Linked DNA regions of Drosophila melanogaster. The protein of the gene in region 4 interacts with the protein of the main gene of each other region in a pairwise test. Each region holds a gene or a part of one and is shown on either strand. Other genes may lie near its edges. The genes, in order: Nf-YA, CG14005, CG9705 and zfh1.

What was found.
Region 1: the proteins of zfh1 (region 4) and Nf-YA interact in a two-hybrid assay, tested with the Drosophila melanogaster proteins (one large-scale study listed by BioGRID).
Region 2: the proteins of zfh1 (region 4) and CG14005 interact in a two-hybrid assay, tested with the Drosophila melanogaster proteins (one large-scale study listed by BioGRID).
Region 3: the proteins of zfh1 (region 4) and CG9705 interact in a two-hybrid assay, tested with the Drosophila melanogaster proteins (one large-scale study listed by BioGRID).

The regions. Positions count from the first base shown.
Region 1 is NT_037436.4:9,439,556-9,447,644, forward strand, and holds Nf-YA (nuclear factor Y-box A), read right to left. Parts: upstream 2,713-8,089; 5' UTR 2,608-2,712; coding exon of another isoform or gene 2,569-2,607; intron 2,412-2,568; 5' UTR 2,338-2,411; coding exon 1,138-2,337; 3' UTR 501-1,137; downstream 1-500. Other genes in the region: Bet3 (blocked early in transport 3), read right to left, coding at 1-5, 2,569-2,607; Srg3 (Sting-regulated gene 3), read left to right, coding at 3,776-3,809, 6,147-6,730; CG3529 (uncharacterized protein), read left to right, coding at 7,441-7,507.
Region 2 is NT_033779.5:5,796,929-5,804,404, forward strand, and holds CG14005 (uncharacterized protein), read right to left. Parts: upstream 5,048-7,476; 5' UTR 4,959-5,047; coding exon 4,744-4,958; intron 4,681-4,743; coding exon 3,942-4,680; 3' UTR 3,589-3,941; downstream 1-3,588. Other genes in the region: CG7239 (uncharacterized protein), read left to right, coding at 5,477-5,784, 5,844-6,915.
Region 3 is NT_037436.4:16,776,326-16,784,484, reverse strand, and holds CG9705 (uncharacterized protein), read right to left. Parts: upstream 4,386-8,159; 5' UTR 4,065-4,385; exon of another isoform or gene 3,981-4,064; 5' UTR 3,829-3,980; coding exon 3,695-3,828; intron 3,023-3,694; coding exon 2,900-3,022; intron 2,822-2,899; coding exon 2,647-2,821; 3' UTR 2,066-2,646; downstream 1-2,065. Other genes in the region: CG9706 (uncharacterized protein), read right to left, coding at 1-1,176; mus302 (mutagen-sensitive 302), read left to right, coding at 5,004-6,270, 6,332-6,891; Nrt (neurotactin), read right to left, coding at 8,125-8,159.
Region 4 is NT_033777.3:30,761,935-30,770,458, reverse strand, and holds the start of zfh1 (Zn finger homeodomain 1), read right to left. Parts: upstream 4,534-8,524; 5' UTR 4,176-4,533; coding exon 4,079-4,175; intron 1-4,078. UniProt on the Drosophila melanogaster protein: Involved in the development of the embryonic central nervous system, embryonic mesoderm and adult musculature.

The DNA.
Region 1 (8,089 bases), on a different chromosome or scaffold from region 4:
GAGTTCTGTGTTTTGATTTTTCGTTTGTTGTACAAAGGAGGAAGAGAGGAGAGAGCAGATAGCGAATAAAAATCAATCCAGAGCCAGAATAAAGCGTTTTATAGGCCTGTACCATATACAAAACTGTAGCCATTCACGAGTTCCGCAGTAAATGTATATGCTTTTTTTTTTTAATTTTATAAACTGTGTTGCATTTATTATGCGGCAAATGGTCCTCAATGGTGCTTTACCCGTTACTCGTAGATTCAAAGAGTATACTAGATTCGTTGAAAAGTATGTAACAGGCAGAAGGAAGCGTTTCCGACCATATAAAGTATATATATTTTTGATCGGAATCAGTAGCCGAGTCGATGTAACCATGTCCGTCTGTCCGTTTAAAAGAGATCTCAGGAAATATAAACGCTAAAGGGTTGATATTGAGGTTAATGATAGAGACCACGACGCAGCGCCCACAAGCCGCACAAAATTGCCACTCCCACACTTTTGAAAATTTTTTGGATATTTTTTCATAATTTTATTAGTCTTCTATCGATTTGCCAAAAAATTTGTTTGAAATTTATGAACTTTTGAAATTTCGAGTTCGCATTTCCAAAAGCTGAGTAACGGGTATCTGATAGTCGGGGAAGGCGACTATATCATTCACCCTTGTTGAATCTTATATTGTTGAGCTCTGTTGTTTTGCGGTGACTATTGGCAGCCCTTTCCCCATTCCATTTTGAAATGAACTATAAACCCTAAATTAATAATTGCATTACTTGTGTAAATTTTGAAAATGTCTAGTAAATGAAATAAATTCTCTATTTAATAATTACAAACAATTTTTAACAGCTGGCTAACAGAAAATAAATATTAGAAATTAGAAACGATTTAGAAAATGAATATAATAAGTAAAACAATTATCTCTTTCTTGAACTTATCACTTTTCCAATCTAAGTGAATGAAAATAAATAGAAAAACCCAAAAATTCCCTTTGAAAATAATATATGAAGACTTAATTTTGAAAAAAAAAAAAAATGAAAACTATGTGAGCCGACTAAAGTGGTGTGATTGAGGACAAATGGACACAGAGCGACTGGCTTAGGACTAAACGCTATGACTACAATCTTATCTAGTTTGTATCCTACAGCTAGGAGGCGACTATTCCGATTTGATCGCCGTTATGGTAATGCTGGGCGTTTGATGTGGCGCGATCAGTTTGGGCGGAGCACGTGCCGTGCCACGGCTGAGGGTGACGCCGCCACTGGACGCCATTGGCATGCTGCCGCCTTCCGGGCCGGACGAATCTTGGTCGCCCTTCTCCTGTGCCGAATGGAAGCGACCACCCTCGCCACGAGCCCGATTCATGGCGTGGCGATGACGAGATTCGTGCAGATACTTGCACCGTTCCTTGGGTATGCGCGACTCTAGCTTGGCCCTGGCCTGCCGCCGAATGAGAATACGTTTGTACTGCTTGGCATTCACATAGAGCGGCTCCTCGTCCGCCTCGCCCTTGGAGCTCTCGTCCTCGCTGTTCGTATTCGTTCCAGTTGTACTTGTGCTGACATCGGCGCTTATATTATTGACTGCAGCACTGGCAGCCACCGCCGCCACCGTCTGCTGCTGTTGCTGCTGCTGCTGGTTTTGGGTCTGGGATTGTACTTGTTGATGCTGCTGCTGTTGTTGTTGGGTAACCACTGTGCCCACTCCGGCGCCTACTCCGGCATTGGCGGCCGCTGCATTCACCGCTGCCATCGCTGTCTGCGGCACCATTATAATCTGTTGCCCAGCTGTGGGTGCCGCCTGATTAGCGCTCGGTGCTGGATTGATCTGCACCAGCTGCCCATTGATATTGAGGTAGTGCGGCGTCGGCTGGGCTGCCATGGCAGCTGCGGCGTTGGCCGCTGCATTCGGATCCAAGGCGGCAATGGTGGGCGTCTGATAGAATATAGTCTGGCCATCGGGCAGCTGCATCACCTGCATCTGTGGCTGCTGCTGCGCAGCCTGCAGCATAATCTGGTTGGCCTGCAGCGGTATCAATTGTGGCTGCAGACCCGTCGCCGTCGCCTGACCCTGTGGCTGCTGGCCAATTATGATTTGCGCCGCTCCGGTGGGCAGCATGGGCATTGGTATCACTTGGATGGGTTGTGCCGTTGCTGCGGCATTTGTGGCTCCTCCGGCTGCAGTGCTAACACTTAAATTGTTGCCGGTTGTTGCGTTGTTGTTGCTGCTGCTATTGCTGTTGTTATTGTTGTTGCCGGCGGCGGCGGCGGCGCTGGCGGCAGCACCGACGGCAGAGGCGGTGGTGCACATTCTGGGCGTGGCTGAGGGGCGACTGGTGGCGCTGAAATGGTTTTCCATTGCCTGATTGCACGTCGGCTTGTGCCTGTCTGTGTGTCCGTGTCTCAACCTCAAGCCCCCAACACACACACTTACTGGAAAAGTGAATGAAGCCGATTTTGAGGGTGGATGGCACGTCAAAGATTCGTTCTTAGGCACTATGGCACAAATCTAACCTTACAACTAGATCTATGCCTCCAAATGACTAACGATACCGATCTTGCGCTGTTCTCTCTTCTTTGGCCAACTTACCACTTTCTTGGCGTCCAAACGAGAGGCTTGTCGTGACATTTTCCGGCTGTTTACGTTTGGATATTTAACAATTGAAAATAAAATTTTCTGTTTTTCCTAGTTTTACAGAGCAGGGTTGTCAGGGTACAATGCTGAAACACATCAAAATTGGCCAGGGCTGCAAGCGCTGTGCATATCGGTTGGCGTCACGGGAAAAGTGAAAGTATCGCTCAAAGTCGCAGTTATATTTAAAATTTTTGAAAAAGTATTGTAAGAGTCCAAAAAAATAATAAATGTGTGCAGCAGTTTAAAAAGAATGCACATATATTCAAAAACGTATTTTTTTTTGCTATATTAATATGTTATCAGTATAATAAATTTATTTAATAAATACATTAATTAATAAATTTGCGCTAACGTTATTTGGGAGTAAATTCCCAAGAATAAAAATGCAAAAATGTTTCAAAATGGCAGATCTAACTATCTATGTACTACTTATAGGGCTCAAGAAAGTAAAAAAATAATGCGATAGAATAATCGGCTCCCCAACATTTTGCACGCTAGACCTCCTCAAACCTTAACTCCTCAGACCTTAAGGACATTTCAGGAATATTTCATTAAATTAAAAAATCATTAAAAATTTTCCACTGTTTTTGAGATAATAACATAACAGTGGGAGGAGTTTAAGATCCGCCCTCTTTAGTACCAATACCACAACCAATCCATGTCATGAACCGCTTTATTAACAATAAGATTTCTGCAATAGATCTGCAACATTAAGATTTCAGTGGGAGGGACAGTGGGTGGGACAGTCGGCTATATTTAAATGCTGCAAAACTCCAATTTATCCCCGGCGATGACTCCTGTCCTTCTGTCCTTCCGGTGCTTTCGTCCTTCTGACGGGGTATCCAAAAATATAAAAAGAAATTAATGCTAGTTTAAAATTAAATGCTATTTGTAAAAATAATTAAAATATTGTGCCATATGTTAATGTTACCAGTCCATGTCACTCAAGAAAAGTACTTAACTTAAAATACTTATACTAAACGCTATGACCCAACCCCCATACTCACCACAGCAATGTTAGATTAAAAAATTTAATAAATTGTACTTATATATATTGCATGGCTGCAGAACATATATCATTCAGTCTCCGTACTTCCACCAGTGAAAATACCATAACATAAAATAACCAGTGAAAATAACTATAATAAATAACTCCACCGCAATGGGAAATATTTCCTCCAATATTAGGGCCATAGGTATGAAACCTATGGAACCTTTAATAATTTTAGTGAACTCTAGTTCTCCGTATTTTTTTCAATTTGTATCTTATTTTGGATAATGTTCGTTACATTTTAATAATAATAATATATTTAATTATAATGCCACGTAAATTGCGAGGTTTCTGATCCGAAAGATATAATTACAACACCAAAAAGTGTGGCAAGTGTACATACATACAGTTTGTCAAGAAACTGTTTACACACTGTAAAATAAGTTGAATTTTTGACTTTAAAGCTAAAAATAAAGGGTTTTTTGCTTAATTAAACGCAATTTTTTTATAAAATATAATTAAACAATATTTATTTTACTTATAAATCAAAAAACAAATTAAAAATATTAAATATACAAGAAAATAAACAACAAATTCCAAGTGTACACACTTTTGAGACTGTCAAGAAACTCTTTACACAAAACACTAAATCGAAGTTTAAACCTAAATTTTTTAATTATTTTATTAAAATTTTAAAAGTTTTGGTATGTAGTATGTTCCCCATTGGCTTTAGCTACAAGTTGAAGCCTTTTTTTCATGGATTGGACAAGTTTTTGCAGGTCATATTCAAACGGGATCTTTTCACACTCTTCGACTATTACAGTCATAAGCTGTTGTTGTGTTTTAGGTCCCTTTTTGCCACCTTCTTCTTTAAGTAGGTCCACAAATTTTCAATGGGGTTCAGATCAGGACTCTGAGGGGGCGTATCGATCACTTTACCACAGTTATAAGGGCGCCAGGTGCGTACATTGCACTCTTTATGTTTCTTATCATGTCCTGGTAAAACATAAAATTTGGCTTGTTGTTGCTAACTAGACCAAATTTTTCTGCACTGGCCTTCAAATTTTTTTTTTTAATTCCTAGATATTGCACGGCATTTATTGTGCTCTCAATTAAGGCTAGTTTTCCCACTCCACGGCTGGTGATACAGCCCCAAACCATCAGTGACATTTTTCCAAATTTTATTGTTGGAATGATATTTTGTTTTTCTAGCGCACTCAACGGTTTGCGCCATACTCTGCTTGGCCCGTCGTTATAAAAGAGCATCATATTTGTTTTGTCACAAAATATGACGTCATCCCAGTACTCTTCCGCATGATCCATCATGCTCATAGCGAATAAATGACGCTTTTCAATATTGGCATCTGATAGCAAAGGGTTTTTCCTTGCAACTCTTGAAGAGTACCTATGGCGTAGGATGACTTGGCGCACAGTTTCGTGTGACACAGTTAGGTGACATTCTTGCCTGATATCCAGAGCAAGTGATCTGACCGAGATTCGGGGGTTCGCAATCACTATTCGCATAATAAAGCGGTCTACACGCTTTTTAATTTTAATTTTCCGCCCACCACCACTCTTAGGTTCAAGCCTGCCCTCTTTTTCCGAGCCTTTTAAAACATTGTAGACGGTCTTACGGGATACAGGAAACATTTATACTAATTCTGGAAAAGATTTTCCCAACTGGTGGTTATAGTTTATTAATTGGGTAACTTCAAAAGTTAATCTCTTTCCAGGCATTTTATTAAATTTAATAATTCGCTTTAAGCACGTTTGATCAGCAAAATTTCACAAGCAAAGTCAACAAATTTCAATAGAAGCGTTGTAAAAAGCAATGTAAAGCCAAAAATAACGGAAAAATCGAGTTCGTTCTAAGAAAAAGAACAAAACAAAGTAGGAAAACAAAATGTGTAAAGAGTTTCTTGACAGTCTCAAAAGTGTGTAAACTTGGAATTTGTTGTTTATTTTCTTGTATATTTAATATTTTTAATTTGTTTTTTGATTTATAAGTAAAATAAATATTGTTTAATTATATTTTATAAAAAAATTGCGTTTAATTAAGCAAAAAACCCTTTATTTTTAGCTTTAAAGTCAAAAATTCAACTTATTTCACAGTGTGTAAACAGTTTCTTGACAAACTGTATGTGTCGCAAAGAATTCCGGGGAAAAACACGTTTCTTCTCAGTTTATACCCTACGTGCGAGGCATATGATTTGTCCTATCAGCCTGTTGGAACCGCTAACTCATATATTCCTTAATCTAACCAAAAACAAATTTTGCGTCGTATTTGTGAATAATGCACCGATTGATTTGATTGATTGCTTTAAGAGCGGCAGAGAGCAAAGATTACAGATAATAGGATAATGACTATTATAGTCAGAACACAATATTCTGTAAGAATCATGCAACTTATAGTTAGATCTAAATGGGCTTAAGATTATGGGTCTTGGAACAGAGAAGTTTAGCCGACTAACCAAGTCGGGACTATCAAAATATAAGTCTCAAAGCCTCACTCACTAATATACCCTACGTTCTCTTCTTTCAGAGGACGAATCCTATGAACTGTCCTCGGAAATCTGGGCCGTCGACATGGAGATCACTGACAGCGAGACCGACGACGTGCCCGTCAGCAGGAGCGTTAGCGTCAGCGCGAACGTCAGCGGGAACGTCAGCGGGAACGTCAGCGGGAAAGTCAGCGGGAACGCTAGAGGAGCCTTCAGCGGGACCCTCAGCCAGACCGTCAGCGCTACCGTCAGCGGGACCGTCAGCGCGACCGTCATTGGATTGGTCATCAACGAGTTCGTTCCAATGCCATTCAGTGGGACTCTCAGCGGGATCCTCAGCGGAACCCTCAGCGGGACCGTCGAAGGGACCATCAGCCGGACCGTCGACGGGGCCGTCAGCACGACCGGCAGCGGAACCATCGAAGGGACCGTCAGCGGAACCGTCAAGGGGACCGTCCGTGGGGCTATCAACGGGACCATCAGCGGAACCATCAGTGGGACCGCCAGCGGTACCGTCAGAAGGACCGCTGACGGAAAGCTCATTTTTGAGACAGGTGCAAGGTTGAACAATCGAAAATTCATTATCCACGAAATCTGTGGAATGAATTGTGAAATAACTCTTTGAAATTACAAAGTTTTTGAGATACATAACACGCTCTGTGAACAACCATGACTATGAGGTACCCGTTACTCAGCTAGTCGGATTGCGAATAAAATGAGAAAAAATTAAAATTGTTTAAAGATGTGGGTGTGATTACAATCCAAAAGGTGCAAGGTGCAAGGTGAACAATAAAACTAAGAACAATCTAATGTGGGCGTTGGAGTGGTCATGGAAACATGGGTCAACAATCTTGGGCTGCGTCTATGTCTCTGGAATCTGCACGCTTAATCTAAACATTCTAGCTTAAATAGTTCCTGAGATCTCGACGTTCAAACGTACAGACAGGCGGACATCGCCAGATCGACTCGGCTACTGATCCTGATCAAGAATATATATACTTTATATGGTCTGCCTGTTACATACTTTTCAACGAATCTAATAAACCCTTTTACTCTACGAGTAACGGGTATAACTATGTCATTATCTCAAAAACTGTGGATAATTCTTTTAAATAAAATGAAATAAAATGCTGCAGCCCTGGAAAAAAACCTATTCCTATTTACCCACTTATTGTAATGCATTTCTTTGTGGGTATTTTTCGCTGAGGCCAGCCATGGTCACTCTGCTGTAGACAAGTGCATAAACATTTCATCCAGGTGAACAAAAAGTAAATAAAGAACAATTTTAACCGCACTGCAACCCAACGGCGAGCATTAATAAGAAACTTCTCCACGATGGCTTCATTTTTCAACGTTGGCGCCTTGGGAAATGTTTTCTCCACTCCAGTTGGCCAGCGCATAGGTGAGTAAACCACCCTCCCCCCTCCAGCGTAAAAAAAACACCCACCGGAAGCGGGGGTGTGTGTATATGTGGTTAAAGCGTAATATTTTCCACAAATACAACGCATATGCGTTGATATTTACGCATTTACATTGATAGTTATCTGATTAGAGGACGCTTCAAGGCAGTCCCAATCAGACTGGGCCATTGGAAAATTGAATTTTCACAACTTTCTTCGTGCGTTTGCTTGTTTTCTTGTTTTGTTGTTGGTCTCTCACACACACGCGCACATTTCCATGTAGCGATACTCATTTGTTGTTGCCAGACCATTACTATGGCAAAGCGGTCTGATTTGATTTGAAAGGCGGTGGCAACAACGGTGGGCCTCTGATAAGATTAACCCTTATATGAGTATGCGGTTCCAACAGGCAGGTGTGACAAATCAGATAAATGTTTGTTGGTATGCTTTATGAAATTGCTCACCTTTTGGCACGCACACAAAGAGTATTGTTATTGATGCGCTCTTTTATTGTTTGATTGCCTGTTTTCCCTTCACCCCCTCCTGGCGGCCACCTGTTTTGCGCCCTTAGTAATCGCAATTAG
Region 2 (7,476 bases), on a different chromosome or scaffold from region 4:
AATAGGAAAGCAAAAGATATTAATGCCAATTAGTGGAAGTTTTGAATAACTTTGAACTTCAATGCGTGACAGAGAAAGTTCAGTTAAGGAACGAAAAAAAAAATCCTAAAATTTTAATTTAAGTTTTGTTCTTAAACCAAACTTTTTTAGATATCATGATAGATATCTTTTTCTCTTAACATAAGATGTACGTTACAACTGACTGATTTCTAAGGTCTGGGTCTTGGAAAGTGTAAAACGTAAACCAAAACCAAATGAACAAAACTGCTTATTTGCGGTTAACCACAACACGGCAATTCAATACCGATAAGGAATCCAGGAAAAGGCTTACGAACTTGCTAACCCAAGTGGACTACAAAACCTCACGCCTTTTCTTATATAAATTTGATAGAAACTAAATTACTTATTTATATAAAAATATTTAAATATTGGAATTTATATATGTTAAAGTAAATAAAGAAACTAAAAGTGTATATAGCGTAGATTTGGTTACACGTTTAAAAACGGGTTTCTTGTCAACCAGTGTAATAAATGCTGTTGCTCAAGATGATTCAGTTGTCTCCATGACAAACAAAATTTGTGTAAATGCATATGTGAGCTTTGAAGTTACGTCACTTGTAGGTGGGTGACCCCCTGGGGGTGTCATTTGTATTTCAGAAGTCACCAAGCGACGTATGGATTTTTCAGGTCAAAAGGGGCAGAGGAAAAATTAAAGAAATAATAATTTCAATTTATGTTAAAAAACTTAAAATGCACAAGAGGGTATTTCTAGCAAAGAGAAATTCACCAGAACTTATTCATCCTAAAAAGCATTTTTAATCTGGGAAAAACTATTTTACACTGTTTATTTATCGAAAAGCTTTGAAGTGCATAGGCAGAAATCAGCCTTCTGGAATTTTCTTGGCAACGATTATAAACTTCCGCTTGAATCTTGTGTATTAGATTGTTTCTCTCGCTATTTATCTAAAAACCAGACATCTTTCCGAGCTAATCGCATCCAAGGTCCTATGTTCTACGTAATCCCAACACCGCAATGCGTTGGTATCGCCTTAAATTTACCAAGTCCCTTACTATAGTTTCTTATCTACAATATGCGACATCAGATACCAGATACTGAGCTCTGTGATGCAGAAAACTGCTCTGCTTGTTTTACTATACAAATATTCGCAATTATTGAGAAAAACATTTGTTTAGTTCAGTTATCGTTTGATTACCCAGAAAATGATCGAATCATACTAATGGTGTAAATAAGCACGTGTTTATCAAGTATAAATATTTAATAATAGGGCGAAACACATGGAACTAAACGCGCAAACTGTCGTATAATTGGCAAATATTTTATTAATAAACAGCAACACAACAAGTTAAGTAGATCGTGTTAAATTGCCCGTTCGAACCACTTCGCAGCGAAATGTTGATTTTTTATGTACAGCTCATGTCTATTTTTATACAACTTAAGATCCATGTACTTAATAAATTGCATAGAATTGTCAGATAACAATAAAAAGACAGTAGTGCTTATAACAATGTGGAATACACAATTACCTAATACACTTCCTCCTATATTTAGCTTTTTTCGACACCTCCAAGTTCTTTTTTAATAGTCGTGCGCATAAATTAAGTTATATATTTTCGAGTGTTTGCTAAGTGACAATATTTAGCCACAAACGACGAGAAGATTTATGTGGACTCCGGCGATTTAATGAGCTGTTTTTAAAGAAAACAAATGCCAAACAAATTTTTAATGGGCTAACAAATGTGTTGTTAATGTGAAAATTAAATCGCGATTGGAAAATGGAACTCATCAAATTGGCAATTAACCAAAACGATTAATTTCAGTTCTCTGCCTGCGAATAAAATGGAACTTGTTATGATTTTCCCATAGATTCGATAATGATTGCCAAGAATGTTATCAATCTTATCATTCAAGTGGTATAGAACCGCATGATTAGCGCTCAAGGAAAACCCCATAAATGACGACAATCATGGGAAATTTTAAACAAATTATGGTAACATTATAAACCTTAAAAATTGTACTTGATGTAGTTACGAAGTTGGTCTGATATGAGTAGCAAATTTCATAAAAAAAAAGGCGGAAGACGAAAAAAAAAGGGGCGAACAATAGCGCCAGTTAGGCATGATGTATAAAATAAACTTTTACAATTGTTAAATATTATTATCGCACTTACATCACACACACAGCGAGGAGATTTTCGATTTTTGTGCTGCTGCTGATGATGATTTAGATAATTTCTTTATTTCGATATTTGCTGGTGGCCGCACGAATTTGAAATTTGATTTCTTTTGATTTGGCTTTGTGTTTCGTATTTTGTTGATTTTTTGGCTGCTCTTTTGGGCGAAACGAAAAGAAATCGCGCTAATATTTCTGCTCTACCTGCTGTTTGTTGTTGCTGTCGCCTCGCTATGCTTTGCTTTGCTGACCGTTTTCTATGAATGAAAGAGGCGCTGGGCAAAAGCAACAACTGCAACAAAACAGTAAAAAAAAGACGTGAGAGGCGTGACGCGACAGCAGAGAAAAAAACCGAATTAATGATGGGAGGGGGGGGGGGGGGTTAGGCGGGGCAAAGCGAAATGTAACGAAACGGGTTTTCACATAGTTTGTAGCCCAGTGTTGTGGCCCTGGAGAAAGAGAAACGGAGGAGACACGCAAAACAGAACGAGAAACTTTTACACTGGCCAACAAACAGTGTGAGAAGGCGTATGGGTGCGGGGGGTGAGGTAGGGAGAGGCGCGGCAGGGCTCAGCTGATTGTGATTGGGATTTTCGGGCATGCCACATGCAGCGGCGGCAACAGCAGCAACAACAATAACAGCCTCCCACTCTCGCGCTCTCTCACTCGCTCGCTCTCTTTGCTGCAAATCGAATTTTTTGTTGTTTATTTAGGTGACGCTCGCACACATTGGCAAACATTTCAATCCGTGTGTGCTGCACACTTGTTTTTCCTTCTTTAGCCCCGATTCCACGGCAATTTGTGCACTTCGCTGCCGTTCGTTTGTTTTATCCCAATCTTAATCTTTATTTTTATCCCAGACTGGCGGCTGGCTGGCTTTCTCCGCACCGCACAAGCACACACACTCGATACAATCGCACACACCTTGATGCGCTCCTTTGGCGAGCCACTCATTTGATTTAAAGGCCTTTTCCGATTGGCACGCGCGTCCGCCACCCGCACACACGCGAAAAACACGACCGTTTCGCTCGAAGTCTCGAAATCGAAAAAGTGGAAAAGCCTACAAAAAGTCTGTGGCATTTCGGTTGGCAGAGAGCGCATTGTGCGCTAAGAGAGCGACTAAGAGAGGTCCGCATGCGGTGTTTGCGGATATTTTCACATTCCGGCTACGGCCACACTGCTGCAGCAGGGGTTGATGAACAAATAACCGGCGGTTGTTGCACACGCTAAGTTGATCGAAATGCAAAACTTAATAGGCTATTCACACTGATTTCATTTGAATTTATGTTTGATTTCGTTACTATTATATCAACAAGATATTCTGTAACAATAGAAATAATAGTATAGTCTATATAGTATAGTATATATATATAGTATAATAGTCTTTCATCTAATTTATTTTTTAGCCAGTTGTTTAGTTTTAGTTTTTTTTTTAAAAATGTAGCTACCATACAAGTTCGCCTCAAGACAATGTTTTTAATTTAAGACTAAAGACCGTATAGATTGATCTTTTGCACAGACGATTGTTCATACACATTACACTTATGACGCTAGAAAAAGAACGTTTGAGAAATTATAATATCTTCGGTTCGCTATGCTGCTGCTTTGTACGTCGAGTGAATTAGACATCTGTGTCTGAGAAAGGAACGAATTGAAAAACATACACAGGGTCGAGCGCCGCGACTCTATTCCCAACTTAAAGCTAAAGCTGTCATACAATGTCCTTACCACGTGGTGCTAGTAGTCGGGATCATGGTTCCAGCTTGATGGTCGTTTGCTTTATTAACGCCAGCACTGCCTCCTGCCGCTCCATATACGCCAGAAAGTTATGTTTCATGTCCAGGAACTGCTTCTCCTTGCGCACGAGCGACTGCAGACAGGCGTCGTTCTGCTGCTCGAGCAAACTGTTCTCCTTGCGCAGCGCCTCCACTATTGCCATTGTGATCTTGCCCGAGTGCGGCAGTATACTACGTCGCCCTCGTCTCCTTTTGCTCGCCGAACGTTCGGCGTCCGTCTGGCCACCGTTGGTGTGGCCTCCATATGGCGCATCCTCTGCCTCGGGCAGGATGTGGTTGGCAGGCGTGAGAGGCGACCGCTGAATGACACTTTCGGCAGTAGCTCTCTCCAGGTAGTGGCTAGCCGCGTTTTCCAGCTGCGTCACTGTGGGCTTGTATTCAATATTCACCAGCTGGTGGTGTTCGTCTGGCAGAGGCTCTGTCTTCACTACTGCGGGAACTAGGGGCTGGGCATCGAGGAAGGTGCATCCCTCTGAGTCGCGCTCAAATTTTAGCTGGGCGGGCGAAGTGTATAGCAGTGGCGGCAGGGCGGGCAAATCCACACGTGCTGTCGCACGGATCGTCTCCAGCACATTGCGGAAATGGAAGAGGGCGGACGACGGCCAGGCAGGACAGAAGAGGCAATCGATCAGCGCGTAGAGACGCCAATCCTTCGCGAAGTTCGCATTGCCCCCCACGCGATTGCGATCGTTCCTGCAGAGAAGTGGAAGGAGATATTAGCACTGTGAACTGACCCGAGCCGCTGCTGCGCCTCACAAATACTTGTTGCGGTAGCTGTTGATGCGCCGGCGAGCCTCCTGCTTATTGAGCCGAACTCCGTTCTGCTGCAGGCCGTGCGCGATTTCCCGGAAAATGGGCAGGTTGTCCGTGTAGGAGGGTATGGCATGCAGGTGCTCGCGCCACAGCCGCAGTAGCATGGCCTCCTCCAGCGACGTGTAGTAGCGCAATCGCAGGTGCTTCTGGCCGCTCATATTCCGGTCTAATTTCAATTTTGTGGAATCGTTATAATCCAAACATTTTCGTACGTGACCAAGGACCAGGCGTGGAAATACCAATAACGCTTGAGCGCGGCAGGCGCCAAAAAATACCATCAATGATTTAAATTTTCTTATAGAGCTATTGAAATCTGGAAAAGATATATCTAATATCTTAATAATTTTATTTCTTAATATTGGACTAGCCCCAAAGCCATTCTCCCAGCTGTAGTATATACATGATACTGATATGGTACTAAATGAAATTTATTATATTACTTATTTCAGGAAATTCGCTCAGGAATCTAGGCATTTTCGGCGTTCTCGCGCCGCAAGGTCACACTCTTCTGTGTATCAGAGCTGTTGTTGATTTTTTGTGCGGAAAAACTGCACTTGGCTTCAACCATTCTACCACAGCGTCGCATTGTGTAACTAGAGTGGAGATCGCATATCCAAAGGCAACGTTACAGGGATACATCTGCGGGAGCAGATCAGGAGCCGGTGCAGAGCAGTCGATGGACTACGAGAAGCTGGCGTTGAACGCGGGCGGAAGCGGCAGCGGTGCCGAGCAGGACTTAGGCATGTGCGGTGGTCAGGAGCTGCTCGATGGCAGGGGCAAGGAGAAGGCGCGTCGCTACTGGACGCCCAGCGAGGAGGAGCGCCTGTACGAGATCTGGGGACGCGACAACTGGCGCCTGACGCGCACCGGCAAGAACACCATCTTCTTTGGCCGGTGGGCCGAGGAACTGCGCGACCGGTTCGCCGTGGACGTGAAGCCCGAGGAGATCCAGATGAAGGTCAACCAGACCAGGGCCAAGTTCAGGTAGGTAACCGTTTAGACACTTTGCTATACCGGATTAACTGACTGGTTTCCCTTTTAAGGCAAGTCAAAAAACAGCTGCAGGCGGATCCTTCGAGCTATGCTACGCGCTGGAAGAAGTACGACATTATCAATCGCATCCTGAAGAACCTGCACAGGCCCAAGAACGCCGATCCGCTGCCGCCAGAGGCGCTGCTCAACAACCGCGACATGACACCGCCCCGGGATGATGCGTCCGCAGAGCAGTTGCAGCAGCAGCCACAGCAGCAATCCGTTCAGCAGCAGCAGCAGCAAGGCTTGGGACTGGCCAGTGAGCCAAGCACTGCCACCTATTACAATAGCAGCAGCAATAGCAATCACGGCAGCAGCCACAACAACAACACCAGCGGCGGAGTTAGCTTCAACACGGAGCTGTTTACGGACCAGTATGACGAGGTGGTCAAGCAGGAGTACGAGGACGATGAGTACCGCTCCATTCCCTTTCAGGAGCAGTTGCAACAGTATTCCCCAGCCGAGCCGGCTCAGCTGCTCGAGCTGCAGACGCCACAGCAGCAGCAACAACTGCAGCAGCAGCAGCAACAACAGCAGCAGTTCCAAACAAACTATGAGTCGCAATTTCAGCAGCAGCCGGCTCAATTCAATAACAACAGCGTTATTAGCACTGCGGCCACATCGACCGTCAACCATCAGCCCATAACGGCGGTAGCCTATATCAATAGCAGCAATAACACCATCAGCGTGGCCACAAACGCAAACGGAGGCATGCCAGCGCCGGTGCCCGCACAGGTATCGGCATCGGTTCCGGCTGCAGCTCCAGTTTCGACCACCAACAACGCCGTCGTTGGCGCCTCCCCCGTCCCTGTGCCACGGAAGCGCGGTCGTCCATTCGGATCTGTGAATCCCCCACACGCAGACTCGCTGGAGGCGCTCTACATGGAGGAAGTTCGGCGAAAGAACCAGCTGCTCTACGAACAAACCAAGATATGTCGGCAGCGACTGGAGCTGGAGGAACGCAAGGTCGACCTCATGCAGACCTTCTTCCCCAAGTGTCTTGAGCAGCAGGCGCAGATTCTGAGCCACGTCCTTCAGCTGCAGAAGCAGCATCAGCATCCTACGGCCCAGCGGCCGCAGTGAACTCCTTTTCCGACTTTTCATAACCTCAATTTTGGACCGCAGTGCACGAACACTGGTTTTCAGATACTGGATTGCTGCAACATGCCGCTTCGCAGGCTGATCGGTGCCACGAAACTTAACAAAAAACATGCAAAACTGTTTGTAAGATTAAAAAGTAAACTTAAATAATAAATATATTTAAATAACGAAAATCGCTGGATTATTGCTTTTTTTTTATCGATTTTCGAGTTTTGAAACCGAAGGGTTATATTTTCACAATCGATTTCTGCAAAGTTATATAATAATATTATTTGGAGCAAAGAATTTTATAATTATTTAATAGAAAAATAACTTAAAATCGAGGCACTGAGCACCAAATGTAAAATAACATTTTAAGATTAAACAGCGCTGAAAAGTATGCAACATTTTTATTAAAGGAGACTAGCATACACCCTTGTCAAAGACACTAGAATAGAATATTCTAGGGTCTTTGCCCTTGTGGATGGATTGTTTATGTCAATGTTTATAAAATCGGCAGGATCTTTAAAAGTGCATACAATTACAAAAAACAAACGATCTTCA
Region 3 (8,159 bases), on a different chromosome or scaffold from region 4:
ATAACTGGTGATCAGCAGGACGTAGTAATAAGCAGGCACGGCTCCTCCACGGACAATATAGGGTGTGATGTAGGCCAAGCCAGTGGCCACTGTTGCCATGATGATGCGATAGGGAATGGCCTTCAGATAGACGTCCATCGGACGTGGTCCGTTCGTATATCGACCGACCGCCAGCGGCAGAATGAGCTGCAGAGGAATTAGGGGAATGGCGAGTAAAGCCAGCTTATCCTTCGGTACACCAGCGTCAATGAGTTTTAAGCTGGTCACTGCATCAGAGGCTGCGAACGTGACCTTCACGGTGAGCAGAATTACAGCCAGAATTTGGACGGGACGCATGCACACCATGTCCCACAATATCTTGTAGCTCTCATGGATGTTCAACTCGTGCTCCTCCGTGTAGCGAGCGTCCATATGCGCGTCTTCGATGTCGTTCTCCTTCTTGAAAATTGCCACCAAAGTAGTGGCTACCACAAATGTAATGCCCCAGAACCAAAGGAAACGGGGCAATGTGATCATGCCATCCTCGAGTGGCACGTCTCTTATGTAGGTGTTGCAGAAATCCTTGGACTCCAGGGCAATGAACACCACATAGCCCAAGAAGTAGCCAGCTGTTTGGCCCACGCTATTGCAGGTGGATGCGTATCCAACATTGCATCGCTTCAGCATGGTCAAGGCCCAGCCATCCACGGCGATGTCCTGAGTGGCAGCCAGGAAGTTAAGCAGGAAGAAGAGCAGCGTCAGGAGCGGCACATTGGGATCGACACCGTTCCCGCCCAGCCAGCGATCCACGTGGAGGGAGAGGAGTAACATAAAGGCTCCCAGAAGGTATTGCACTGGGACTAGCCACGATTTCCGGCGTCCAAATCGCCGGATGTACAGGGAATCCACAATTGGAGCCCACAGCAGCTTTAAGCTGAATGGCCAGTAGGCGAATGAAAACTCCGCCTGTTGTTTGTAGCTAGCTCCTCTATTTTGCAGCAACATTGGTATGGCTGCTATGAGCCCGATGGGAATGCCCTGTAGAACGTACAGGAACAGCAGTATGGCTATATTCCTCCGGTCTCCACGAATATCTGGTTTCTGGTGCTCCGCCACCTTTTCCGACTTTGGTGGCTCGTCGATGAGCAACTCCTGGTCGGCATTGCTGCCCGTTGGCTTTCTCCTTATGGCGGACATGCTGATCAAATAGCGATAGGTATATATTATAAAGACATGCTAGTTTGGGGGCCACAGGCTCACCTGTTTTTCTAATCACCAACAAATAACACCACGTCACTCAAATGTAGAGCTTTTTACGTATTTTCCCGATACAATTCCCTCGATGCCTTTAATTTGGTTAAATGTACGATCGAATGGCTTTCTGAATATCTGCCAGTTCGGTCTTTAATTAATTCATTTTCCGTTGAATCGGAATATTTTCTTTCGTGGCATATGTTTGTTGACGTTCCAATATATTTTTATAGCAACTCTCTGTCGCACTACGCATGCAGTTGCTATAAACCGCCGCATGGTCACACTAATCATTCGAAATTCAAACTGAGTGGCGGGAGACTTACGAAATGGAAATCCATAATTTTAGGAGTATGAGTTGGTTTGGCTATTTATGGCTCTACTTGATAAATTTAGCGGGCGGAAATCTTTAGGTATCTATTGTGGCAAAAAGGTTGGTTTTTTTTTATTGAATATGTTACGGTTTCGATTTTCTGCAGAACGCAGGAAATATATTTTCAATAGTGAGCCAAAAATTCATGTATGCTTTGGGCTGCAAAAAGTATCTGCTTTCACTGCAGATAAGATACACCACTAAATTAAATACAAGTTACAGCTGCGGCTAAAACAATATTTTGCCATGTTATGAATATCGTGATATTACAATCAGACATTAGCTAATATCTAAAATGAACATTTAGATGCCGTAATAAAAACGTAAGATTAATAATTTTGCATAAAATTTTATTAGAACACATACAAGCAAGCGGCTATTATGCTGACCGCAATTGTGCGTACAATACACACTCCATGCTGATAACTCCCACGCCACTCCAGAAAAATCACCGATGGAATTGTTTTGCAGCTGTTTTAATAATAAAGTGAATTACTGAGAGCATTTTGCTTGTTTGCTTCGCGAACACATTCAGATGTTTTGTTATAATTAAAAGTAATTACTGATACAGGGCACCACAGCATCGCAGGCGCTGTGCTAGTGGCTTCTCGAATAACAATTTCAATTTCCAAATACATACGCGCTTTTAATAATATACTCGAAACTGGTTGCGGTTGCTCTCCCCTCTTCCAGAGGGAAAGGCAATATTTGTGACTGCGTTTTGTTTGACTTCCATAGCTTAGCTTAAATTCTAATTAAGTGTTCAATTGAAACTCTTGTGATGCTGCTCGCTGGCTGGCTGGATGGCAGGCCTGTTGTTCCATTCTATTACGTTCTGGTCTGGTTTCGGCTTTTTCCTGGCTGCTTCGATTGCTGTGCTTTCGTTTACTTTCATGGTTATTGTTCTGTTCCGGTTTTCCGTTTCGTTCATCTCGGGTGGCGTGCTCTAGCTCAATTAAATTTCTTGGAAGGCCGTTCAGCTTTTAACAACACACTTTTCCGCTTCCGAGCTTCGAAATCTCCCAGGGCCACAAGCTTCAGCTTTACTTAGCGGGCGAGGAGCCACCATAGAATGGCTCCTCCCACTTGTGGTGCACCTCCGGCGTCAGGTGGCTAATCTGCACGTGCACGGCCTGGTGCTTCTCATACTTGGGCGGAATGGCGCACAGACGGTATTTGACCTCGTCCCCGGGCATGGGCACATATTCACCTTCGATGCTGTGGGAAGATTACATTTTTGTAGGTCTTACAGAGCCAGCGCAAAGGTCGCCGCGCATGCAATATTCATTCACTTACTCGGAAACGTGGCAAAAAACGTCCTCTCCGCCGGCGTTGGGTGTAATGAAGCCGTGTCCTTTGGTGCGGCTGAAGGATTTCACCATACCGGTCACAACCGGATTTTCCAAGGCCCGAGCGGAGCTATGTTTTTTCAGCGTTATTTTGAGTTTGCGCGTGTTTGCGTTTTGGCAGCGTTTGGGAAAAGAATTAAGCAGGAAGAGACAAGTTAATCAATGGAGGATGCGCATGGGGATATGAGGGGGAAGAATTTAAGTACGTGGATTATGTTCGAAAGGGTTCCGAGAGCTTATAAATTCGGCAGCGACTGATTTCTGAATGTATGTATGTATGTACAATGAAATAATTGAAAAAGTATGGGGTTTACAAATTTAAACTTTCAAAAAAAATGGTCCTTACGGTTATAAAAATATTTATAAGTATATACACATAAAAATAAATATATTAAATGTAAATGTGGAACCAATAAAGTGTTCCATGTTCGATTACTAATTACTGTTTGTTTCATTATGTTTGCTCATCTAATTCAACAAATGCAGTTTAAAACATTATAGAAAGCTTTTGCTTTAGAAATTACAAGCTTCCATGCTATTCTTTTACTATTTCAAAAGGTTGTATTTGGTTTTCATACAAAAGAGCGAACCTTGTGAAATAATGTGAACTTTCGGCGCCTATTTGGCCCCATAAAGGCTCTGCATAGGGGCCAAGTTCCCCTTGGGGTCAAGTGTGTGTGGGGCCAGTAGTGGGTGGGTGGTTTTGCTGGTTGGGTGGGCAGGGCAGTGCAGGAGGACTTACGTCGAGGCCGTGCGAGTGCGCCTCGTGATGATGGGACTGGGCAGCTGCAGCGAGGCATTGGGACTATGGCTGTTGTGGTGTAAAACCGGCGGCTTGGCGGCCAGCAGCTTCTCGGGCGTCCTTGGTTCGGTCATGGCTTTCTTACACTGCTCGTTTACTTGCCGATTTATGCGTTCTTCCCCTTTCTTCGCTCTTTTCCTCTCCTCTCTTCAGACAGTAGAAGCGGCTTGCGCGTGTGTATATATGTGCGTATGTGTGTTTGTGGGTGAGTGGACGGCAGCCAAGTCTGTCGAGTTCAAGGCCACGGGGGGCGGGTTAGTCAGTCAGCAAATTGCGTTGCACTTAATTCACGTGTACTCGGTCAGCTTACCGACAACTTCACGCCCTCTTTCCTAGCACCTTGATAATTGGCAATCCAAAAATCCTGGCTTAGCTTCTTTTTTTTTTGCGAAACACCCACACACTGATGCAAATTTTACCGCTGTGCGAAACGCCGGTTGCCAATGTTATTTGTACCCCCTAAATCAGTCCTGCGCGGTATGACTTTTATCAACTTTGGAATCTGGGATTTTTTTAAACTTTTTTATCAATTATTACACCGGCTTGATGCGCGCTTTTTAAGAATTTCAGTTTTTTAACGAATGGCGGCGGAGGCGTCAAAGTCAGACCTCAGAGTGAACGTTTTGGAATGTTCCAGAAATCCCAAAACCTATCGCTTAGCCTAATTGGCAATCGATGTTTATAGCAACATGAATAAAATTTGAAAATCAAATTTAACGAACAAACAGGATTAATTACAAGTTACTCCAACTTGTTGGTAGAATAAATAGATGTGAAAATTTAATTGAAAGCATTTATAATTATTTTAAACAATTAAAAAATTGCATTTTCCGCACAAACACTCAACTCTTATATAGATTCTTTTTTTATATGCTTGATATACGAAAAAAATGTGTTCAGACTAATATGTTGTCCACACTAACAATGAATATTTAAATATATTTATTTACATGTAGTACTCGATAGTTTCACCCCGTTGTTCCATCACTAAAGCATCTCGATCTTGACCATCCCTAGCTTGAAATTTAGCGTCCTATTGCAGGAAAGTCGCGAAATAGATAAAATAATAACAAGAACTTTCATGTTTTCCAAGAGGAAAACTTGATTGAGACCATATATAGGTGAAACGGACAGCGAAGGTTTCGCAAAAGGCGACAGCGCCGTGGATCCGGAAATATACTCATCGGGCAGCAGGGAATGCGATCAGTCTGAAGCGAGAAAGCGGAATTCAGACATCCTGCTGCAAGGAATGGAGAATGAAACCGAAGCTCTTGATCCGGAAGTTTATGCCGATGAGACCTCTACAGATGATAGCTCTGGTGATGATGAGGTAATCCTCAATCCAGTTGAAGGTCTGCAGCCGGCGGTTGAGATTGATGAACAACGTGACCAGCCTGGTGAGAACGCGGAACCCGAGCAACCGAGAGTTCCGCCTTTAATTCTGGTAGATCCTCCGCATTTGCCCAGTCCCCCGAGAAATTCCCGCCGCAATCAAGGCGAAGAGCAGGAGGTGATCTCATTAGAAACGCCATCACCGCCCAAGAAACGTAAACGTCTCTCCGCTGCTGCCGATAAAAGCCTTAAAAAGTCGCCCGAGGGCAAACCAATAGTTGTAGATGACGAGGACGATGGCATGACCTGTCCCATTTGTCTGGATTCCTGGGAGATGAGTGGCGAGCATCGACTGGTCTCGCTGCGATGTGGTCACCTCTTTGGGGAAAGCTGCATTCGGCGGTGGTTAAACGAAAGCCATCGCCAATCTTCTGTGAAGGTGTGCCCGCAGTGCAAGACGAAGGCCACATTTAGAGATATCCGTCATCTGTATGCGAAGCGCATTCAGATGCTGGACACGGATATTAGGGAGCAGCTGGAGGCGGAGCGGCGGCGTACACATACTCTAACAACAGAGCTGGCTACCGCGAAGCTGGCTAACACACTCACCACTGAGAAGCTGATTCTCCTGCAGAAGGACTACGAACGGCTTAAGGAGCTGGTGAGGGCAGGTGGTGGTCGGGGAGCCTTCGGAGGCGATGCATCCGGCCAGAAGAGCATTCAACAACTAGCCACCTACCGATTGTACATGGAGAAGAACTTCGAGATAACTCGAGATCCCGGCTGCCGTGTATTGCTCTATTCCGCCAAGCACTCCATGCTGGTGGCCTCGCAAAAGAGTGCCCAAAACCTGTTCCCCGGCTACGGCGTACGCTTTATTGATCCACCTACCTTCAAGCCCCTGCAATTCCTGCACACCTCGGCACTCCTAATCCGGGACATTGCTTTTAGTGACTCACAGCACTTGCTCACTGTGGCCAGTCGGGAACTAAAGATCAAGATATTCGACATAAGAACACGGCTTTGCTCGTCTATGTTCACCGCTCATGACAAGATGCTGTGGTCTTGCGCCCTGGATCGCAACGAGCGCGAACACTTTCTATACGGCGGAGATCTGCGAGGTGGAGTTTATATCTACGACTTGCGGTTTCCCGAGAACATTCTCTGCGAGTTCCAAGCCGAAGGTGAGTGTGATGAATATGCAAACGTTAATACCCGCTTAAATCATTTACTTATTCCCTACAGTGAACTTAAGTCCTGTGATACACATAGCTCCTGTGCAACCCAATAAGATTTTTACCAGCGGTGGCTTCCTGGTCTGCCAACTTACGGCCCTTACATTCTACGAGTACGCTGCGGCCAGTGATACGGCTGTGCCCACTCGGCTAAATGTGGAGGGACCCTTTCTGTCCATGCAATACGATGCCGTGCAGGACACGGTGCTCATATCGGCACGATCCAATCCGAATTTCCCCCAGTCTCGCTTCATACTTGGTCGAATGGACAAGATTGACGGAACGCCGGTGCTGAAGGTCAAGGCCACCATATATGGATCGAAGGCCACACCGGTTATGACGCGACCGACCCAACTGGCCGTCGAGGATAATACCTTAGTGGTTGGCTATCTCCAGGATAGTAAGCAGCTGATGATGCATGATGTGCGGCGGGAGGAGCGAGTGCAAACAATGCCGGTCAACGAGGTGATCTACGACATCTGCCCTGTGGCTACCCAGGCCGGATCCTATTTGGCCGCCCTCACCGACAATAAGTGTAGAGTTTACAAAGTGAACAGTTCCATGCGATGATATATGTATGTGTGCATTAGTTTTCCGTGAAAATAACCAAAAAAAATTTTCTTTTAGCTAATTTCTGTGAAATATGTGACTACTGATATAAACGAGCTTTTAAGCTAAGTTATTAGTTATAAATTTTTCATTATTTCCGTTTATTAAACATTTGTCAACCTTAAGGTTCGCGTACAAGATTAATCTGAACATAATTCTATATTGTGTGTACTCCATGTTTTTGTTTTTGATTTTTGATTTCAATTTGTGAATGCTCAAAGTCTGTTGTGGATAAGTCTTGTATAAAGCAATAGAAAATGTTGGTTCGATTAATAATATACATATAAAGCTATACAAAAATGTTTTATCCATACAATATCCGATTTATATATGTATATGCGTAATTATAGATACTCCTAAATGAAATGTGGAAATGAACGAATGTTTAAATAGATGTCTAAATTCATTCCTGACAGTCTCGAAATGTTTGCAACACTTCAAACTTTTGGAAAAGTCCTTCGATCTCAGACTTGCAACGAGTCTGACATTTCCAAGCCCAAGTAAATGTTTATGAATTCGGTTTTCTTCTCTCTTGAGTCTTGAGTTTTGTAAAATTCTATCAAAAAATGTTCGTCGTTGGTCGTTTGCTGGTTTTTTCTTTTTTTTTCGTAAATCAAAAACCTCTGTGGCATTTACTCCTATAAAGTTGTATATGGTTTATAGTATTGTATATAGATTAGTGTGTTGAATAGTTGAAAGACGCAGATCTATACTTTTTAAGTATAATTTTGTATATTTTGTGATGTTTTATTTGTGTTTTTGCTGTTTGTGTCTGTGTGTTTATGTGTTCGTTAATGTTAAGATTAGAGAATACGTACTCGTATGAAGAAACGTATGGAGTCAGCATAACTTAAGACTTTCAACTTAAACTTTAAGAGAACTAAATATCCGTTACACATATATTTATATATATATAAACATTAGATTAACTTATGCTAAACTAAACACGAAACGAAGTCGGGAAGTATTAAGCTTTGATTAGGTAATCGGTTCGTATTAAATTTAAAGAAATCGATTATTACTTAAAAATCCAATGGCTAAAGTATTTTTAAATTTTCGAAATATTCCAGATAACTTTAAGTTTAATAGAAACCGAAGGCGCAACAAAGCCGAATGAGATAATCGATCCCAGGCGGACCAATACAGGTGAAAAAGTTTAGAAGCGAGGGCCTATCTGTTGGGATTTTGGTTTGCTTAATCGACGCGCGCATACCGCGGCACAATATCCT
Region 4 (8,524 bases):
TCGGCTTTGGGCACAGCCACACATGTGAGCGGCATGTGGAGTTGTCCCGATAATCGCTCTAAATTTGGAATGCCCTTTCGAGGGCTTGCCTACCTAGAGATCCGTGCACTGAGAACAATTGCCAGCGAAAGATACAAAATATATATGAAGGGGTTTCTGCCCTGCACTCCACTCCTTCCAAAAAAAAAAAACGGACTTTAAAGTGACGGTTTCTTTCAGTGTCGCACCTTTGCCCTGGTCTACTCTCCACTTTCGAATGGGCACAAAGGTGGCCACGTTGTGCCCCTTCAAGTGGCAAATGCAAAGGTGCAGATTCGGAGCCAGACGATCGCCTATAAATAGAGTTCTCCTTTCTGCCCTTTCTGCTTTATTTGTTTGTTCAGCAAGCTGATGCTGCGTGCTGCTTGCTGCTTGCTGCTTGCTGCCTGCTGCATGTTGCACGTTGCACGTTGCTAGTTGCTAGTTGCTGCTGCCACGTTTATTTTATTTGTAGCATTTTGCTTTGCTGAGTGTGAAATTTTAATAGCCAAGCGAGCCGTGTCCGCGTTCGTGTCCCTGTCCTTTTTTCCCTGCATCTGCACAAATGTACATATTGTACATATGTACATATATAGTAGGTCTATCTGGAGGGTAGGGAAACATATGTGTCCCGGGGCGAACTATTTCTGCGATTTACCTTGAAAAAATATGCAGAAACGCGTGTGATGTCGTGGTGTGGGCGTTCTACGCTCTGAAATTGGAGTTGCAATGCGTTGGCGAGCCGAAAGCAATTAGAGAAATATGCCGCAGAGGTGTTCAAAGCAGGGGAAATCGTGAAGGAAATATGCCCGGCCATCCATGAGATACTTTGGCATCTTGTTCCTCAAAGGGAGCGAAATAGTTACTTTAATTAGTTTGAATAATATTCGAAAAATCTTAATAACGCACAAACTAAATTCGCCATTTTAAAGAGATCTCTGAAATACTTTAACGATTACATTTGTCAGAATAGCAATAGTTATGAGTTATTTAAAAATTGGCATATTAATTTACATATATATAAATACCAAACTGAATACCAAAAACCGAAGCTTCAGCCAGTTGAAACGTACTTCATTAATTCAGCAAGTACAACCAAAGTTGGGCTTAACTTGGCTAATTGATATTCACTTGGTCCTCTCGACTCGTGTATAAATTGTACGCGCTCGAAAAAAAAACAACTCCGAAATAAAGCCCATCGAGTGCAATTGAAACTTTTTCAGTTGGCGCTACCACAATAGAGCTGTTGACTATTTTTGTTTATTTAAAACTTTTAACAATTATTGTGCAATTGTGCGAAATTTATTGCAATTGAACGCCAATCAGAAGGGAAGTGCCCTTCTGAACCCTCTCCACTCGCCAATTTCATGGCTTTCCCTGGGTTTTCCACTCCGGTTTTTCTCAATGCCAGCACCCGTTAACCAAAATCGTTTACATGTTAAATTGTGCCTGCTCACTCCTTTTTTTTTAGAGCCTCCTCTTTGGCGCTGCAATTTTGCCTGCCCTTTGGCAACACCTTTTTTAAGGGGGTGTTGCAAGGGTTGGGTGGCAGGGGGCACCCTTTTGTTTGCGCCGATTTTTTGGCACTTTTTTTTCGGGGGATAGCACGGGTAGCAATTGTTGTCTCGTGGAGAGCGGCGGGCATTAAATAAATAAGAAAAAATATATTCGCAAGGAGGCGGGCTGCATTCCGTGCAATTTTCACTTTACAACTGTTTCAAAGTTATCTTTGTTTCAATTGTGTGCACGACGGCGGCAAAAAGCGAGCAGCAAAAAATATTGGCAAACAATTTACTTTTTGGCCAAAATGCGAAATAAAAGTAAAATGTGGCAAATAATTTGCCCAAAGCTGCGGCAGGTTGAACACGGAATAAAGGGAATCTGCAGCAGGATATCAAAGAGGACTTTCCCCTCATTGATTTATTGTCCTTTTGTGCTGGTTGCAAATGGGGAGCTTCCTTTTTTTTTTTTGCTCTGTAGCCTGGCTCAATTGCAATTTAAAGACACAGTCTGTTTATTTTGGGCAAAGTCGGGCCGAAGTCTCCAACTCCACTTGAGATAGGCATCGGCAAAATTAATCATCTTTGCATGCCAGTTGCCAGATAGTTTGTGGGGCCAAGTTTGTTTAATTTCGATTACCAGCTGACGGGGCAGAGTCCTGTGCCCGGTGAAAGATGCAGGATGAGCCGGCCAGGAGTTATAAATGGCAGCACCGACAGCACCAGCATATAAAACTGACATCCACTGACAGCAGCCAAAATGATTAATTAGACAGGAGGCAATCTTGTTGCTGGTGGAACACACACACTAGGTAGGTATTCCCAATCGAAGATGCAAATGTCAGATAAATGTTTAATTTCTGCTCAGGGCTTCGATGGGCGAAAATGGGAATGGAAATTGGCGCTGATTTATACATAGAGTATATTTAGAGTATATTTAGCTAAGGGGCGTAGTCGAAGGTGATAACAGGCGACAGGTTTTCGCCAGGGCGAAATCTTTGATTTACGGCATTTTGGAGCCGTTTCGAAATGCGACACAACACACGCCGAGCAGCCGGAAAATTAGTACAACTTGACTAGCTGGCTGGCTGACTAGCTGGCTGGCTGGCTGGCGTTTTCCCCCGGCTTTTCCAAAAGCCCAGCGAACAGCATTTCGTATGTAGCCGGCGATTAATATCCATCGCAGTCGCAGCTGCCCAGCGCCATCAAGCAGCTCGGTTTGCCCAGGGAAGAGACGGAAAACAAGCGGAAAGTATATGGATCGAAGATATGTGGGCCAACCTGTGCGCAGCCATCTCTGATCGATTAGCCAAACTATCGTGTTCGAGGGCTTTTAGTTCCGCCCACAGAGAACGGAGCTGCTTAAATAGCCATAAATTATAATTTATGGCAGCGGTGTTGCCACCGTTTCAACCGTTTCCACCGAACATGTGCAATTAATCCGTCTCTTTAGCTGGCTTATCAATTGTCAGAGTCGGAGGAGTGGAGCACCGAACGAATCGTGGGCGTTTCCCCAGCATTGCGCCATCCCCAATGCTCCCCAACTAAGCGTTTTCAATTAATTTCGGCTCTTTCTCACACCTTCCATTTCAACCGATGAGCTCTGCCCACTGACAGTTTTATGCTTTGTTTACACTCGATAAACAGAGTGGCAAGCGACCAGCAATATGGCCATAAAACAGGTTCTTAAATGGAGGTGCGGCATCGCGGTAATGGTGTTGGCCAAGTTAGCTACCTGTCGTCTGCTGTTTCAGCCTGCGCATGCGGTTTTCCTGGTCAGGGGTAGCTCTACCTGGTTCTCGGTGGGTGGAGATTACTGGCAAGGCGGCGGTGCTGTTTCGGCGGTGCCAACAAATCAAATTGAGATGTGGCTGCAATTGGTCGGCCACTGGGAGGAACAGAGAGGTGGCTATGCTATGCAATGCAGGGAATAATGCCATTATTCAAGATCGACTGGCCGACTTTCATGTGTGAAGAGCGTGATATGACCAATAGATATAAGAAATCGAATGATCTGCCATGTTAAACCGTACTAATTTTAACTATATTGTAGTTTTAGCTCATGGAAAAGGACTTTCGTAGCTGAAAACCAGCGAATGATTATAGTTGAACAACAATAAGTTCTTTAAGTTCTCAAAGCGTATAGAAGTTGCACAAAGTGACCCAGTTTTCTCTCAGTGTGCTGATCGGGCAAACTTTTTCGGTTTCGGGCTCGCTCTCTCCTTTTTGAGAACCGGAGCCCGTTCTCTGCGTAGGAGTAGGTAATGGTAATTCGAGACCTGCCTCGATCCTTACTCGCCGTTTATGAGTTTGTTTTTCTATAGCTACTCATTCTTATGATCCCCTGAAGGTGGAGACCACACATATACCCAAGATGGCGGATGGTTTCTGGGAAACTGCTAAGCTTGCATGTGGGGATCTTCAAATCGAAGCTACCGAGTCTTGGCGCGCGAATCACTTGAACACAAAGTTCTATGGCACGGCTGATTGGTGATAATGGAGGCGGTTTGCGGATGAATCACCCGAGATCTGTGCTCCAGATCCGCGTTCTGATCACTTACACTGCATGGCGAAGGGGGAGGTGGAGGGCATGCTCTGCTGAATGATGGTATCCTCTTGGCCGAAACGTGAAGACGACGGCGCCAGACAGGACAACATTTGGAATGCTTGTTGCAACACTTGCTCTACTTTGATGCGGATAGTTTGTTTGGCTAGTTGGCTAGTTGGCTAGTGGGTTCTTCTGGGCTCGGCGTTATTTCTTTCTTATAGAGCACACACGTGTTGTGGCGGCCATTTGGGCAAGGGCCTTGGGTTTTTTATCTTTCGAACATGGGAAACACTGGGATTTTTCTTCGCGATGCGCCGCTGCGAGTGTCGCGTTTGTTTTTATTTTGTGGGCGATTTCACTGATCTGCGTTCTATATCTGCGTGATTCTACTGTGTGCTGCTCAGAGTTTTCTCTGTGGGTGAGCGACGCGTGTGCTGCCGTCGCGACGTCTACGATGCAACTGAATTCAGAGTTCTAAGTTTCGAAGCATCAAGCCAAATCCGAGAACGAAACAGAGACCGACGTCCTCTACCGAATCCGTCGGATGCGAACTGTGAGTTTCGGGCGAGGGCGATACGGCGGGGTTCTACGTTTCCACGGAGAGCGAGTGAGAGAGGGCGGCGCTGTTTGTGTGTGTGCTCCGTGCCACCACCAGCATAATATAACGGTGTAACGGTTCACCGTTCCGATGTACGAGGTGATTCGGGCGGGGGTAGTGTGGTTGGTGCTCTAATGCTCTGATGGGTGGTGTGTTGGTGGTGGTGCCAGAGAAGCGAGAGCGCTTCATTCTTAACATAACAGCTCTCTGTTATCGCATATCGTAAATGTTAAGCGCTGTTAGTGCCGCTCCTCTCGGTTATCCCGTGACGTAAGCACTACGTAAGGGTGGCCTCTTTTGTTCATCGTGCTGCTCGTAAACATATGGCCGTTATGCGGGATTTGACTATATTAACATTTGCACAAAATTTCGTTTTTATTGATAAAGCGACTTATGAGTCTTTCCATTAACTTTTCCGCCAACCGTCAAATTTATTTCGGTGTTATTTTATTAATACTCTGTGCTGCTGGGTATCAATATTAAAGTGTAGAGCTTAAGTGATTTACATATTTAATTGTTATAATTAGGAAATATTTTTAATAAACAGTTTAATACTCAACAATAAATAGGAATTATCTGAAATTCCCAGAATTGAACAGCAATAAGATAGTTTAATTATATACTTGTATTATAATTTTTTAAGTCTTTCCGGTAAATCAAGTTTATGACAAAATATTCCCCGTGTGGGAATTACACACATATGTATGCATATCGCTATGATTAATTCCCCACTCAAGAAAGCTTTCGATCGTTTTTCTTTCGGGTAAATTTGGCGGTGCGAGATAAAGGGGATTTCTTTTTTCCAGGGAATCCCTTAACCCTTTCCTGGCCACATCGCTGCGTTAACGGACAAAATCATTTGCACTTGCGATTGCAAAATTTCCTCTGCTGCGATTTCCGAGTAAGAAATACCGAAATCGTTCCGCGATTGCCACACATTAATGACATCGTTTGCTGATGGGCGAGTTCTTGAGAATGTCCATCAATGGACACGTCTACAAAATGACAGAAGAACAGAGATCCAAGAGATCCCGGACAACCGAAGAATTCTAACGAAGAGAGCAGAATGCGAGTGGCTTGATTCTTTGGCTCCATCAACAAGTTTTGGCGGCCCCTTGGGATGTTGCTTTTTTTGTACTTTATATTTTGCTGCTCAAAGAAACATATAGATTTGAAAACTAAAAGTATAAATGGATAAAAAGATATTTATGGTAACAGAAATTGTGTTATCGAAAAAAAAAGCGAAACATGCTCTCTTTGATAAAAAGCAAAAACAAAAGGCGGACTCGACAACATAATAAACAATTTGTACATTAATTTTTAATGCGGTTAACATGTGTTCCCCCTTCTCCCTCACACACCCATACACTCACAAACGCGGTCGCTACGTGTGTGTAAGTGTAAAATAGGTGGAGCTTCATAATTTTCTCACTTGAAACGTACTGCCATGAGCGGGAAAGAGAGCGCCGGCGGTGCAAGCGAGAGAGAGGGAGAGAGAGATAGCCGCCGGAGAGGCCGCTTTTTTTTTGTTGCCTCGCATTCATTTTGTATGTTAATTAGTTGCCGTTCACTCGCGTGCGCGTGTGTTGAGTATCTGTGTGAGGTGGCGTGGGTGTTTAATGAGAAGCGAGCAAGGTGCGCACATTGGTCGTCCATCGGTTGCACCTGTTGCGCTCGTTCGATTGGCGGAAAAGCCCCAGGGAAAATTGGAGGCTGATGAAGTGGGAAAATGACTCAATAAGATATATGCGAGAATGAATCAGAATAGATATTTATGTCTGGACTTGAAAATAATTCATCTCTTGCAATGAGCTCGTACCTCCCCGAGTTTTGTAGATCTTAATCCGCCTTCATAAGTATATATTTTTAATCAGGATCAGGACGATTGCTGTTTCCCAGCACTTCCTGTTCCTGTTCCCCCAGGAGTTGCCCTCATTAACCACTTAATTGACACACATCCGAATCGAAATGCATCCGAGTTCAATGGCGAGTACCTTCAATTACCACGTCCCGCATTCGCACTCAAGGATTTTCTTCCCAGGCTCTCGAAGGCAACACCCACTGTAGGTTCTTTATTTAAATTGGATTTGTCGATCATTTTCCGATTGCTACTAGCTTGGGCTTCCACGACTTTGGAAATTCTCACCCACCGCTGCTGGTACCCACATAAAATAGAGTTAGCTAAGTACTTTCGATGGTTCCGCATTGACGTCATCGACGGAGGAATCAATTAATTTCACTTTACAATCGTCGGATCGACGAGAAGATGAAGCAAAGGACTCTGGGAAAAGGCAATCCTTTTCGGGGTGTTTGCTGTAAATCTCAGATCTCCAGATGGGTCATCGCATTCCCACACTCCTTGGGATTGAATTGCATGCATGTTTCTCGTTTTTCCACAATTTTTAATTAGCAGTAAACTTTGCGCGGCCCCGAAAAACAAAAGAACCCGAAACCAATTCAATTCGAAACCGAACCGAAAAGTAATGACAGCGTAAATACTTTTCAGAATGTGGTGGTTCTATATGGCATAGAAAGTGGTGTGGTGTGGTGGTGGTGGTGGTGGTGCTGCTGGTGCTGGCCTCGGTGGTGCAGAGTGATGCACATTTTTGGGGTCGCCACAAACATCGGACTCTCGGCATCGGAATCGAAATCTCAAGTGTCCTCTGTTCTGCGGCCGCCTTTGCCTCATTTCGTTTAACACTTTATGTGACATTTAAGTGGCGGCGGGGAAATGTCAAATTTCCTCATCGTCCCCAAAATGCATGTACAGCGGTCTGAGCCCCATTTTCCCCCTTCTATTTTTCAAGGGTTAGAACTTGATTGGGGCGGTGGTTTTAGTCAAGTGTGTGGTTCTCGTGTGGGAAGATTTTCCCCCTCGTGAAAAGTGCTCGTTCCAGGCGCAAAGTGCGATTCCTGGTTTGATTTTCGTGGAAAGCAGCGTAAACTGATTGGTTATTGTCTTGGAAATAATGAAATATTATAAGCAGCGAGGGTTACAGTTGCCACTAATTTAGGCAATTAATAAAATGTCGAAAATCATTAATAGCTAACCTTAAGGTTTATAGTTATTCAAATTTTTAGTGAACTATTTAATAAGACAATTTGATTGACTCACACTAGCGCCCCGCTTGCCTGCTTTCTTTCTCCTCTTATCCTTTCAGTTGATCCTTGAAGTGTGCCAACAGCAACTGTTATCCTTGACAACCCGAACAACATCATCATCAACGTCGTAAACGTTGTCAGAGCGATCATCGTTATCTGTTTTCATAACTGTCAATTGTTGACTTTTGTTTCGAACTGCATTTGAATGTCTGTGCACAGCCTTAAACCCCGTGCCCATTTTCATTCACAAAAAGAAAAGCAGCTGGAAAAGGTCCTTGCGGGAAAGAGAGGGTAGATATATTGGAAATATTTGGGCACGTGTGCGTTGTATGGCACTGATTTTGTGGTTCGGCTTTTGTAGTTCTAAGCAGCCTAACGGTTTACCTGAACTATCGAGGGAAATACTGTAAAATAAGGGCTTGAAAATGTAGAGGAGTGAGTTTTCCGAAATATATAAAGAGAAAAAGAGAGAGAGATAGAGATAGAGAGCAAAGGAGTGATCGAAGTTTGCCCGCATATTTTGGAAAACTTTACCGTTTCCCCACTCGAATTCGGTAATTTAATATTTTCTAGACCGTGTTTATTTTACGCAAAAACTGTTTGCGTTGCGTTCGAGGGAAATTAACGAAAATTGAAACAGATACTAGGACACACGTCACAGGACTCACGCTCAGCTGAGCAAATACTTGAGTCGGTTTTCGAAAAGGTTGCGGACACGTCCTTCAAATAGATGTAACATTAGCTGCTAAAAGGTTAAAC